Linked DNA regions of Arabidopsis thaliana. The protein of the gene in region 3 interacts with the protein of the main gene of each other region in a pairwise test. Each region holds a gene or a part of one and is shown on either strand. Other genes may lie near its edges.

What was found.
Region 1: the proteins of AT3G48510 (region 3) and ECT8 interact in a two-hybrid assay, tested with the Arabidopsis thaliana proteins (one large-scale study listed by BioGRID).
Region 2: the proteins of AT3G48510 (region 3) and AT1G76210 interact in a two-hybrid assay, tested with the Arabidopsis thaliana proteins (one large-scale study listed by BioGRID).

The regions. Positions count from the first base shown.
Region 1 is NC_003070.9:29,813,762-29,819,620, reverse strand, and holds ECT8 (evolutionarily conserved C-terminal region 8), read right to left. Parts: upstream 4,152-5,859; 5' UTR 3,465-4,151; coding exon 3,431-3,464; exon of another isoform or gene 3,106-3,430; intron 3,015-3,105; coding exon 2,944-3,014; intron 2,832-2,943; coding exon 2,714-2,831; intron 2,624-2,713; coding exon 2,553-2,623; intron 2,460-2,552; coding exon 2,103-2,459; intron 2,016-2,102; coding exon 1,533-2,015; intron 1,451-1,532; coding exon 1,238-1,450; intron 1,145-1,237; coding exon 1,001-1,144; intron 906-1,000; coding exon 810-905; 3' UTR 517-809; downstream 1-516. Other genes in the region: NUA (nuclear pore anchor), read left to right, coding at 1-445; AT1G79260 (nitrobindin heme-binding domain protein), read right to left, coding at 5,555-5,674, 5,782-5,850.
Region 2 is NC_003070.9:28,594,434-28,597,735, reverse strand, and holds AT1G76210 (DUF241 domain protein, putative (DUF241)), read left to right. Parts: upstream 1-1,739; 5' UTR 1,740-1,853; coding exon 1,854-2,534; 3' UTR 2,535-2,786; downstream 2,787-3,302. Other genes in the region: AT1G76220 (hypothetical protein (DUF241)), read left to right, coding at 1-206.
Region 3 is NC_003074.8:17,966,832-17,970,215, reverse strand, and holds AT3G48510 (AtIII18x5-like protein), read left to right. Parts: upstream 1-1,625; 5' UTR 1,626-1,763; coding exon 1,764-2,648; 3' UTR 2,649-2,862; downstream 2,863-3,384.

The DNA of each region.
Region 1 (5,859 bases), on a different chromosome or scaffold from region 3:
GGTTGAAGATGATAAGACCGACGAAGGAGGTGATGCAGCTGAAGAAGCCGCTGATATACCTAACAATGCTAATGATCAACAAGAAGCACCAGAAACTGACATCAAGCCAGAGACCTCAGCAGCTACAACCTCCCCTGTTTCTACCGCTCCAACAACTTCCTCTACTCTAGCTTCTGCTATTACTTCAAGCGGAGCTCCAGAAACAGAAGATCCAAAAAGAGCACCGTCACCAGGTGGTGGAAGTTCAACTATTGTGACACTAGCTGATAGAGCACAGATGAAAAGACGAGAAAGAATAGCCAATATAGTAGTAAGTCGAGCTCCTAATCCAGCCACCAGAGGAGCTCGTGGTCGAACTGTAAACCTTCGAGGAGGAGGCCGATTGTTGCCTCGTGGTGGTCGAGCCCCACGTGGTGGACGTGGACAATCCCCGAGCCCACCATGATTTTTAGTGGGTATGGTTGAACAATTAGACTTATCCAAGGAGGCTCCTTGAAGAGAGAATTAATAACGGTAGAGAAACTCATTTTATGTCTAAACCTCTTTTCTTTTTGTATCCCGGTTTTCTTATATCACTATAAAATCAAACCTATCATTTTTGCCAATGATTACAAATTGCAAAACATATCATAAACACAACACAAAACCAAAAAAAAAAAGTGAAGAAAAAACCCAACATTACACCATACAACGAAACAATAGAAGAAGAAGCCATCTCGCTTGTAATAAAATCAAAGCAATCCGAAACAATCGGACGGTTTATATTGATCCTTAAAAAACCAAACCAAAAACACTACATGTTCTTCTAGTTAGCTCACTGTCCCGGTTAACTCTGTGTTTCCCTCTTCGACTGTATTAGACATCTCCATTGTTTTAAAATCAGCAACCAAGTCTTCTTCTTTCTTCTGTTATCATAGACATAAGATCATTCTCGTTAGAATACAATACATAGAACAAAAAGAGCATGATTGAGAGATATAAAGAGGAGAATACTAAGGACCTTTAATACCGGAGGGAACCTTAGCTTCTTCTGTACCATAACCTTCTCTCTGTTTTCATAAAAATCAAAATCATCTAAAATAGATGTCTTAGCTGCGTAGTTCTTAAAGATGTTCAACACTTCATTCCCTTGAGGCAACCTCACCTATATATGAAGGACAATGTTTAAACAGTATGAGATGAGATTAGCTCTTGATAATGATTCACTTCCTTAAGCCTATTAAGGAACTAATGTTACCTCTTGTGTGTCTCTGCTATTGGTTACAGGCTTGTTCTCATTGTTCTCTAGTATGATATGTCGTAGTTGCGGATTTGGAACATCTTTGATGATGTGCCACTTCACCGGAAAATAGCCAGTCCACTTATCTTGTTGCCAGAACTCCATGCTTTTCTCATAATCAACTCGTCCAATCATCTCAGCTACACCGCAGAATTGGCCACTTGCATTCACCTGAATCCAATAAAATCGATCAGAGACCATGAAGACGTCGCAAAACTGAATACGTATATAGCGAAAAATCCTAATAGCATACCGAGAAGAACAGGAAAACCGGGCACTTTCCACTTTTGTCTGCAGCCTTCTTCTGAGATTCTTGATATGCACTGTCTAACTTCTTGTTCCCATTGAGAGTACTAGACCAGACATTGTACTTGATGCTCTTGTGTATGTCGTCTTCGCTATACGATTTTATCACAAAAAAGATTGCTTCCTCGTATTTGGTCTGAAAGCTAGGGAGGTTATATTGATCCCTTCTGATCACAGAACCAACACCGTTGCTTCTTTCATTCCCTTCAGCATCCAACGAACATGACTCACATTCTCCATTGGTAATATGATCTTGACCGTTTGCTAAGTCATTCATACTTGTACCATTTTCTTTTGTCCTCGCTTTCGCCTTCTCTGTTTCATCCCGATTTAAAGCTCCAGACTTTTTCTTTACTGGGTCCATCGGGTAAGCAATGCGACCTTTTTCTTGGTTAAGCAGTGGGGGTGGGGCATAGCTGTTCTGTGATGCCTATAGCATCAATACAAAGAAAAAAAGATGAGTCAAACCTCTTCAGGTAATGTGAAAGAGAGAAGAATTAAAGAGTGTAAATGTTACTTTTCGCGGTGTTTTAGGACGATCTCCCATGCCGTGACCCGTGAAGGAGTTCTTGCTCTTTGAATAATAATTGTTGTGGTTATGACTTGAAGAAGATATGTTCTGTTTCAAGGGTGGGGTATATGAAGCAACACCATACACATACCTGTCTCCAACAGGGTCCCATAAATATGTGGGCGATGAAACATCTGCATAACCAAATTGGTTCTGATAATAACCCTGAGCAGCATACATCGGCGAATGAAGTGCTTGACTCGATACACCAACCGGGTTTATAGGCATATAAGTTTGGCTTGCATCATAAGACTGAAACCCTGGCATCAAGTAGATCACAGACCCATTTTCCCCTTGCATTACCTTAAAATCAAGATCAAGAAAATGGTCAGTTAAAAAGATCGAGTCACCCGAGTGAGTAATTCATTCTCTTCATGACAAGGAAGTTTTGATTACCGGGTACTGAACTTCTGTTCCATAACCATAGTATCCATTATCCTTTGCTTCTCCAACTGAACCATCAAGACCTGTAAAAACACGCTAATTCAGATTATGATCATCTAAAAGCAGAATTGAGTACATATTATATAGTATCAGTGTGTAAAAAGAAGCAAAACCTGGATAGTAGTATCCATAGTAGCCACCATAAGGACAAGGCAGGCCTTGATATGTCTCAAGAGTTTCATAATATGATGGCTCTGCCTCTGACTGATTCTTATTCTCTTTTGCAGAAACCTTTAATGTTGCAAAACAAAAGGAACACAAAAACACATAACTGATAAATCATCCTAAGAACCAAAACATATGAATCATCTGTAATAAACAGAGAAGAGAGAATCTTTATTACCATGGAAGTGGTGGAGGCAGTGACCTTAGCAAGAGGATCCACTTTAAGATTCTTCACCATATCTTCAAAGGCTGAAACAAATTAAACAAACGTTCCCGAAGAGATCAGATTCTGAAAAACACAAAGAAACAAGACATATGTATGTATAAAGTAGACACAAACATTACTAGTAATCTTTTTGATGCCTTTATTTTCTTAACTATGTGAAGAGACAGGTTTGAAACGTGAACTGATGTCTGAATATTTAGTCGTACCGATAAAAACTAATAACTAGGCGTGACTTATATATTTATAGTTAATATTGAAAATAAGACATATGAGTCTAATCACAAGAAACAGAGCACTATACACATAGACACACATATATATATTTACAGACACACAAACACAGGATTCAGATAAAAGGTCAAACGCAAAAGTTAAAAAGACGTGTAAGAACAACACAGATTAAACACGTGTGTGTAGGAAAGAAAGAGAGAAAGAGTACATTTACGAGGATGTTTTGGAACATGAGAAGTCATCTACGAAGAGTAGTAAAAGAAATTTATGTGTTTGACTAAGAATAAAAGACGAAAAAATCAAAACACAGATGAAGAAACCAAAACTCGAATCATCTGTTTCGCAGAGGGTTTTAAAAAGTCTCAAGAATTATTAAATTAGAAAGAAAAAAAGCTGTAGAAAATCTGTTTATCAAGAAGAAGACAACATCAGCTAAAGATATGTTTTATTTTTATGTTTGAAAACTAAGTACAGATACGCAACAAAGAAAAACAGAGAGAGGGAGAAGAAATGGTAATGGCTTACGACGAAGAAGAAGAAGAAAGAAGAACAGAGAGTTTTTTTTCTATTTTTTCTTTTGCAATCCTTCTTATTTATTTTCGATGTAAATTAAAAAATAGAGGTTGGGAAGAGGTACAGATGGAGGGAAGAGAATGGTCCACGTCATAAGGATTCTTGATATGAACGAAGATCGACCGTTGGATTAGACGACAAGGCAAAAACTTAAAACATCTTTTCTTGCCAACTTTTCCATCTGGAATCTATTCTTAACACAACTCTCTTGTAAGTGCTTCTTCAAAAAGTGATTTTAAAAAAGAGAATCTTAATTTGGCATTAACTAACACAATTAATTCTATAAAAAAAAATCATAGGAATACATATTCTATGGAAACAAAAAAAATGAAAGTTAGGACCAGTTCTTATGGTCGGGCAAACTATAAAAAGCACAGAAGAATATCATATAAGATAGTTGAAAAATTGGATTTGACTCTGCCTCTCTCTCCATGTATCCTTGAGTCCGAGCAATACCACACAATAAAAATAAAAACTATATTTTCCATTAAAAATGATTTATTATTCGATGAGTTTTACAACTTTTTAAAAAGTTTTCTCAACCATATAAATCATTAATTAATTCTTGTCTAACAAAATTTTAAATATTCTTTGATGAAAAGAGATGAACAATTCCTATACGCTACAGTTGTTGTTGGATTTTATTTTTTAAATGTTATTGAAGATTGTAGATTGAGATCTCATACTACTATTGATATGCTTCCATTATTGCAATCTGAGTTTTCTTTGAAAATTTGTATCATTAGGTGTCAAGTGGCCCATTCATTTGTGTACACTTACATATGCATCTATATTTCTTATGTCCCCCCACCAAAATCCAGATCTAAACTCATATGAAAGTCATCCATAAGTTTTAACTATCCTAGAAAATGATCACTCCTAGAATTTAATTTCTCTCTATTAGATTGGGACTACTAATAAACACACAATCACCTTACATAATTTTCTTCAAAAATGAAAGTGTTGTGTTTTTGCTCCATTTGTATTATATCCAAAGTAGATATTGCTTAGGGATCAAGTTATAATTGTCAACACCACATAAAAAGCCAAATAGGCCAAAAAAAAATAAGAAACACCATATGGAACTATTTAATACAATAAGCCAAAATTATGGAGCTTAAGAGAATTACAAGGTGCCACGTTTTGTCATTGCCGTGGCCTAAACGTGTCTGCTTCACATCTATATGATTTTCTTTCTTTTGTTTTCTTTTCCGTCTTTTATTTTTTTTTTTGTATTAAAATTTCTGTTGTTATATGTGATTACGTATGTCTAATTAAGTTTATAAGATTGCATCTTACAATTATTAAACCAAATCTTATATAATTGTAGAGAATTAATCTTACTTCAATTTGTTGACTTTGCTTCGATAATAACTTCGGTGCTCATCTCATAATTTCTAAAATGTGTATGCAATAGTATAAAAAGAAAATAAATATGGGGACAATCTTGTAATTATTGAAAGCTATTGTAGTCAATTAGAATATCATTAATATTGAGGCGTCAGATGCTAAAATTGAACGTATATAGGCGCCAATGGGCCTATTTACCTCTTTTAATAAAAGCCCATTTAACTCTCAAATTGTCATCTTCTTCTTACTTGTGCTTACAAGAACAAAACATAACAAAACACTTTGGTAACCAAAATCTTACAAAGAGTATCAAATGTTGTTACTAAACAGAGTGATTCTACATATCAAAATCAAAGCATCTCAATATCACATCGGTCGTGTCAGGTTTCGATTTCACAGGAACTTGGATTCAAAGCTTATCGAGTATTGCTTTGAGATGTGGTTGAAGAGGGTTAGTGGTTGTACTCATACGAACCACATACGATAGTTTTCCATCAACCAATTCAAATTCTCTACTTATCTCCTTCACCTGTTGGAGAAAAAAAACCCCATAAATCACCAATTAGAAACACAAAAATGTTGTGTGTAGAGACAGAGACATTGAATAAATAATAACAAAGAGAATTAATCTGAAACCTTTGAAGCGTTTCCCACAAGATCACTTTTGAGTTTGATTGATTGTTCATCTACATTGTATGTTCCTTTCTGTGATCA
Region 2 (3,302 bases), on a different chromosome or scaffold from region 3:
AGGATCAGAGAGATCAAAAGAAAGGATCAAGGAGAGGAATTGTGTCGAGGATTTTTAATAAGAAGAATCAAGAAGTTGATGTGGATGAGCTGAAGAAGTTGAGAGAAACAGAACATGAGATTGAAGAAACAGAGAAAGAGTTGGAGTGTGTGTATAAGAAACTGTTGAAGACAAGAGTTTCTTTTCTTAACATGCTTACTCTTTGAGATTGTATAGATGTAATTTTGTTCATTGTGAAGTATTGTTGGCTTTAGTTTAGGCAAAGTCTCTCAGATCATATTGATCTTTAGAACTTGTAAAACTTTGTGTGCAGCGTTCTTAAATCATATTCAAACGATTACTTGTCAAGAATACGAGTTCGAGATAACAATTATCAGCAGATCACTTCAGTACTCTATGAATATTTCATAAGTTTATAGTTATACAATCATGAGACTGATGAGTGTATCAGTTTTCTTATCAGAAGTTGTTGCAAAACAGAGTAAGGATGAATTTGAGATAATGGGCTTATTAATTGAGTTTCATGGGCTTTATTTTATGTTTGATGGGTTGTTTGCAAAAAAAATAGCTAAAGAAATTACGCAATAATGTCTTATTTTCTCTGTGTGTTTTTATAATCACGCAATAATGTCTTCTTATTTCTCTTTTTTTAATCACGCAATAATGTCTCTACATGATGATGACAACAGAGAAAATATAATGCATGGTTGATTATTCGTTATAATTAGTAGCTATACCTTCCAAACGGGAAATCGAATAATAAGATTGCTGCACTAACAACATAATAAAAATGAAAGCATTTCAGCATTTGGAGTTGGAGGGATATGAATCTAATTATATAATTTGTGGGAAGATATTAATTTGTTGAAAATAACCTGAGATATAAAGATCTTAAACATAAAATCTAATCCAGGATGTATTCATGCGTCGAGCCGTCGAGGTGGTTACCTGATTGATAGAGAAATTAGACATATAAACATATATGTATTAATGTATGCGTATTATTACTGTCCACGTTATAGAAAAGGTATATTGGTATTTGTGTGAAACTGTGAATATTTCGCTTGTCCAGAAACATATATTGAGAGGTTAACACGTAACACAATGTCACAATCGCATGTATTGCCAAAGATAAGTTCCGGTTTTAAAATGATTATTGATCATATATTCATATTGATCAAGTAGTTACCATTATTTGTTTTCTGTTACTGTAAGACTTATATTACTTTCTTGTTGGTAATTAATATATCCATTTAACTTGATACATAAAACATATCTGACAAACCCTTAACATAATATTTAAAGTCTGATCCAAAATCTAAACATTTCTCATCTCATTTAATATTCGTCCGTCTGTTCCAAATTGTTGCAATTTACCAACACAGCCTGGCACCGTCGCTCGTGCATGCATGGTATATAGTATATAATTAAACCTTAAGACTATATATTAGAATAAAAATCTTTAAAACTATATATTATAAATTGAAAATCTAAACGAATCCACAATGTACCCTAATCCACGAGTGCCTCTTACGTACAAAGAAGGTTCCTTGTGACATGTTTTGAATCATTTAAATCATTGTTTTGATAATACCTCCAAAATGAGCTGTTCCCCGGATGTCCCACGTCCGTACAAAAACCCAAACTTGGGAACCTTCATCGTACTTTCCCTCAGATCCTTCTTAACCTCTATATATAATCTCATTCTTACACACATTCAATATATCTCTAATCTTCGCTTAAAACTCTCAAGAAGCCCTAAAAACCATTCACAATTACATCAAAAAATACCTTTTCAAATTCTTTTTTTACATTCATAAAGCTAAGTATCTCGAATAGATTAAGATCTATCTATGGCTCAGATTAACTTTGAGGGTTTGAGAGAGCTACACGACTGCGTAAACTATCTCCTCCATCACTGTCCGAAAACAAGAGAATCTCTGTCTCAACAAGGACAAGAGAAATGGACGGAACAAGTTTCAGAAGCTTCATTGAGGATGTTAGACATCTGTAACGTATCCAAAGATGTGATGACGCTCGTGAAACACAGCTTGCAAGATCTACAACTGACTCTACGTGGCAACGAATCATCTGATGTCAACGAGAAGATAGCTGCGTATAATCGGTATAAGAACAAGCTCAAGAAGGAGACACTGAAATGCTTAAACTGTTTGAAGAACATGAAAGGAAACGAAGGAAGAGTGGCCATGCCAATAGAACAGAACCTTCTGTTTGTCACAGAAGTTTTGAAGGAAGTGAGAAGAGTCGTTGTGACGATGGTTGAGTCTTTGTTCTCACTTGGTTGTATTCCTTGGCTAGAGAAGAGATCGAGCAAAGGGTCTTTGTCTTCGATCTTTTCCATTCGGTCTTCCTATTTGTTAGATGATGAATGGGACGAGACTGCGGTGCAAAGCGCGACTACGAGGTTGGAGGCGGCGGAGATTACTGTAGTGGAGCTTGAAATAGAGTTGGAATCTATTTTCCGGCGATTGATTCAGACGAGAGTTTCACTTCTTAATATTCTCACCAACTAGATAATATATGATATGTCCGGATCGGTTAGGTTTTGCTTCAAGCGGACATGTTTAGTTAACATTAAATAGATTGATTTGTAAACTTATTTTCAAGTTTGCAACATCAAATTCTTTTATTCTATATAATTTATTTTTTTACCCGTTTCCTAAACTGGCTACTTGGATTAAAGACTTGAAGTTGAAGGCACACTTTTTGTCTTCACCAAAAATAGAGTCAAAATGAAATTGTTATTCAAGTAAAATTTGAATTATAGATGTTTGTTTATTTATTCACAATTCATGTTGCTAGAATAGACATTTTCAATTTGATGATTTTGCATATTTTTTTTGGTTTTCAGATATAGTTATAAAAACCATTAACAAATTCAGTTTCGTAAGTGTTAATTTGTATACTTAACACAGCGAATATAACTAATTTCTAGTGTTTCTTTGTAATTCGTATCATTGGAGGCTGGATCTAAAAACACGAATCTCGCAATGCGTTTTATTTCAAATTAATTTGTTGACAGCAAAATAACAACATGATCAGGAAGTGCAACACACAAGTAGTAACTTAAAACAGAAGCAGCAAGTCTTACAAAGTTGTGTACAAAAACAATTCACGTCTTCTTCACAGTTCTCTTTATTTCGACATATGAAGCTGAAAATTAAGAAAAAAACAAGAGACGATCCTTTTTTCGTCATGATCTTCAAAGGTTCAGTGAGACCTAGCAGCAAAACCCAAAACCAGATTAGTGTCAAGTAGTTTGAGCAATGCTTATATGGTTA
Region 3 (3,384 bases):
GATAATCCTAGAAACTAAGCCGACGGATAACAAAAAATCTTTGGAGACTAAGATTTTGGTTTGAACTCTTATGAGATGTTTATTATTCTACCCAAAAAAATAGACTTCAAACAGATTGAATAATGTCTTTTTGAGAATGTTTTTAGCTCATCAGAAATTTAAAATGGTTTGGACAGTAATATGTATCTGACGCATATAGAAGATTGAAACTAATTACCATCTCTTGAGAAAACAAAGTTACACAATCAAACTCTTTGTTTGGCATAGGTCCACTGGCCTAAATTTTTTCTTTGTTCCCATTTGCAAAAATTAGATTCGAACTCGTAAAACATATATATCAAGTCGCTAATAGCCATTAAACTCATTTACTGGTCAAACTATAACTGTTATTTGTCAAATCCGTTATTGTTTGAATATGTCTATCCTCAAAAGAAGATCTCGAAGCAGAAGCTCAAGTAAAATTTATATATGTATTATGAATGTATCCAAGTTTTGTCCATAAGAATTCCTCTAATATTAATAGCTAAATTAAGGAAACACCTATAAACCAGATATAGATGATTATACTTGTTATAATCATTTACTATAGATAGGTACAATAGGAGTATATTTGATTAATCAATATTCCTTCTTGATATTTCAATAACGATTACCTAACTCCATTGGCACTAATCTTTATTTTTGTCACCAAATCTTTAAGTTCATTTACGCATGAGATCATCTTGTCCCCTTTCAGATCTAATTTGTCACAATCACTTTAAATTTAATTAAGATGCCATTCGCTTTAAATTTAGACTTGGTCAATGATTATAATTATAATCGATCGACTCATCACCTTTTGAGTCGTGTGACTCGTGCGTATAAAAACCATTTTTGTTGTCAGATATTTTAACTTGATTTTGCCATCTCTTCACTATTGTTACATCAGTAAATCGCTTCGTAAGTGGAGATTAATTTGCAAATTTTGGAACTAATTACTGACCAGTGATCCACTCTATATATGGTTGTATTAGTACTTGATTGGCAAATAACAAAAAAAAAACTTAAATAAAAAAACTGTGTTATTCTTAAATTTATAGTATATGGATTAGTTTTAAGAGTGTGGTTGGGAAATATACGAAAGTCCAAGAATCTTATTAGTTCGTTCACAATTGTATAGGGATGTTGTCACTAATTTTAACCAAATTATACCTTTTTATCTTTTTGCCTAACATTTTTTTGACGTTGCCCCAAAACGAAGCAATGAGTTGAGGGTTAGTGGTAAAAATAATCAAAAAGATTATATGCATAGATTTATGTGAAGTTAACCAAAAAAAAAACTCGACCCAAAATACATAATCTTCAACAAGAACTATGTTTTCTTCTTGCAACAAGAACTATCACTCCTGTCATAGCATAGACCAAACTTTTTTTTCTCCTACACTAATATATAAAGTTACAGTTCTTTTTACTGAACGGTAAAATTAATGGTTAGAGTTGGGAGAATAACTTAGGCAAAAAAACAAAAAGAGAGAATAACTTTCCATGTGCAACCCAAACCCTTTACTACTGTCTTCTAGACCCAACACAACCACAAGCGTGCAGGCAAAGACACGTGTCCATGTCACAACTAGTATAGACTCCAACACGTGTCCAGATCACAGACGTTATAAAACCCTTACCATTTCTGTTCAGTGTATTCCTCAGCTCAAGTAAAGCTTTTACCTAATTCTCAAACATTCTTTACACAAAAATATCAAGAGTGATATAGATAGCGAGAAAAAATGGACGGTAGGGGAGGGTGTTGCATAGCTAGGTACGCCATTGGCTCTGGACCGTACGATCTTTCCAAAGCAGATCGCATCATGCTTCGATTTCGTCCCATTGCTCCTAAACCGGCCAGCCCCGGCGGAGTAAATCCCGTATCCAGCGGAGATAGCGGCGGCGGAAGCTCCGACGTTTCCTTTAGATCAGCTAGTAGAAGAAAGAGGAAATGTCATCAGCTGAAGGAGAATGGTGGTAACGCCAAGAGGTGCACCCGGCGGAAGACGTCGGATAAACCCGTCGTTCACGGCAGTGCTAATGCGGTGACTCTTTCTCTATTACCGGAGAAACCTATAGATCTTAAGGCGGCGGTGGAGAAGCAGAAGCGGCAGGGTCCGTTATGGTTGAGTTTCAAAGACGGCGGAGGGATGCTCACACCGGCTTATCAGACACCGGAGATTGTGCAGAGGACGGTGGTGATTTCGTCGTGTATGACGGTGGAGCGTGTAACGGACGCTTGGATTGACGGTTACGGTTTAGGGAGGTCAGATGAAGAAAGGAAGATGAATCTTGTGAGAGACACGTGTCCTGGTTTCATATCCGACGGTTCAGGGAGAGTCACGTGGACTAATGACGCGTATCGGAAGATGGCTAGGGATATTATTCCCGTGGAAGAAGGTGCACCGGAGATAACTAGCGGCGATAGTTTTCACGTGATCGTACGGTTGGTGATGAGGGAGAGGCCGATGCTAACGTCCCCTGGATTCACATGCAGAATGAAACTCCAGTACACGTGTCAAAATCGTGAGAGAGGCTCAGTCACGGTGCCTTGCGACGTGTGGAGAATGGACGTCGGTGGTGGTTTTGCTTGGAGGCTCGACGTTAAGGCCGCTTTGTGCCTTTGACACCGTTAGATCAACTTTAGTCACTATGGGCACGAACATTACACATGATATGTCCTCCAATGATAAAATATGGATTCAGAACTAATTAGATTTCTAATGGTTTAACATATATTTATGTCGTTTTTGTTCTTATGCCTTCTTTGTTTTTGGTTGTTTTTTAAATAGTTTTTTATTTAAGAATTTTTGTAAAAAATGCATCTTTCTTTTGTTTGTTCTTGACGCATTTGTGATGCTAAATTTCAAGCTTGTTGCTTAAAAATAATTAATGAAGGAAAATTTTGTAAGTATTTAATGCGTATCGTCGGTGCGGTTCCCACCTATATTGGACGCATGTTGTGAGATTTCACGGCAAGGACGGTTGGAAATTACGGTCCGAGTGATCGTCCAAACATGCAAATTCCAAAATGGTCCAAAAAATGTGAAACATACCATCTTGATTGCTACAAAAAAGTGTGAGCGAACCGGTCTTACTTTGAGCTAGTTACTCACTTGAAGAGATATTTCAGTCGAACTCATCACATTTTGATTTTGATATTTTCTTTTCTTTTGTCGGCACTCACGTTTTGAGGAAACAAGGAATATAAGAAAGTAAACGACCCAATAAACGTGATACGTCGGAGCAAAAGAAAACAAAAAAGGAGGGTGAGGAATAAATGTTGTACTACAGCTTTGAATGTACTACAGTCTACCTGCGGTAAAAGTGCGATATCTAATGATACGTGGGACATCTATATAT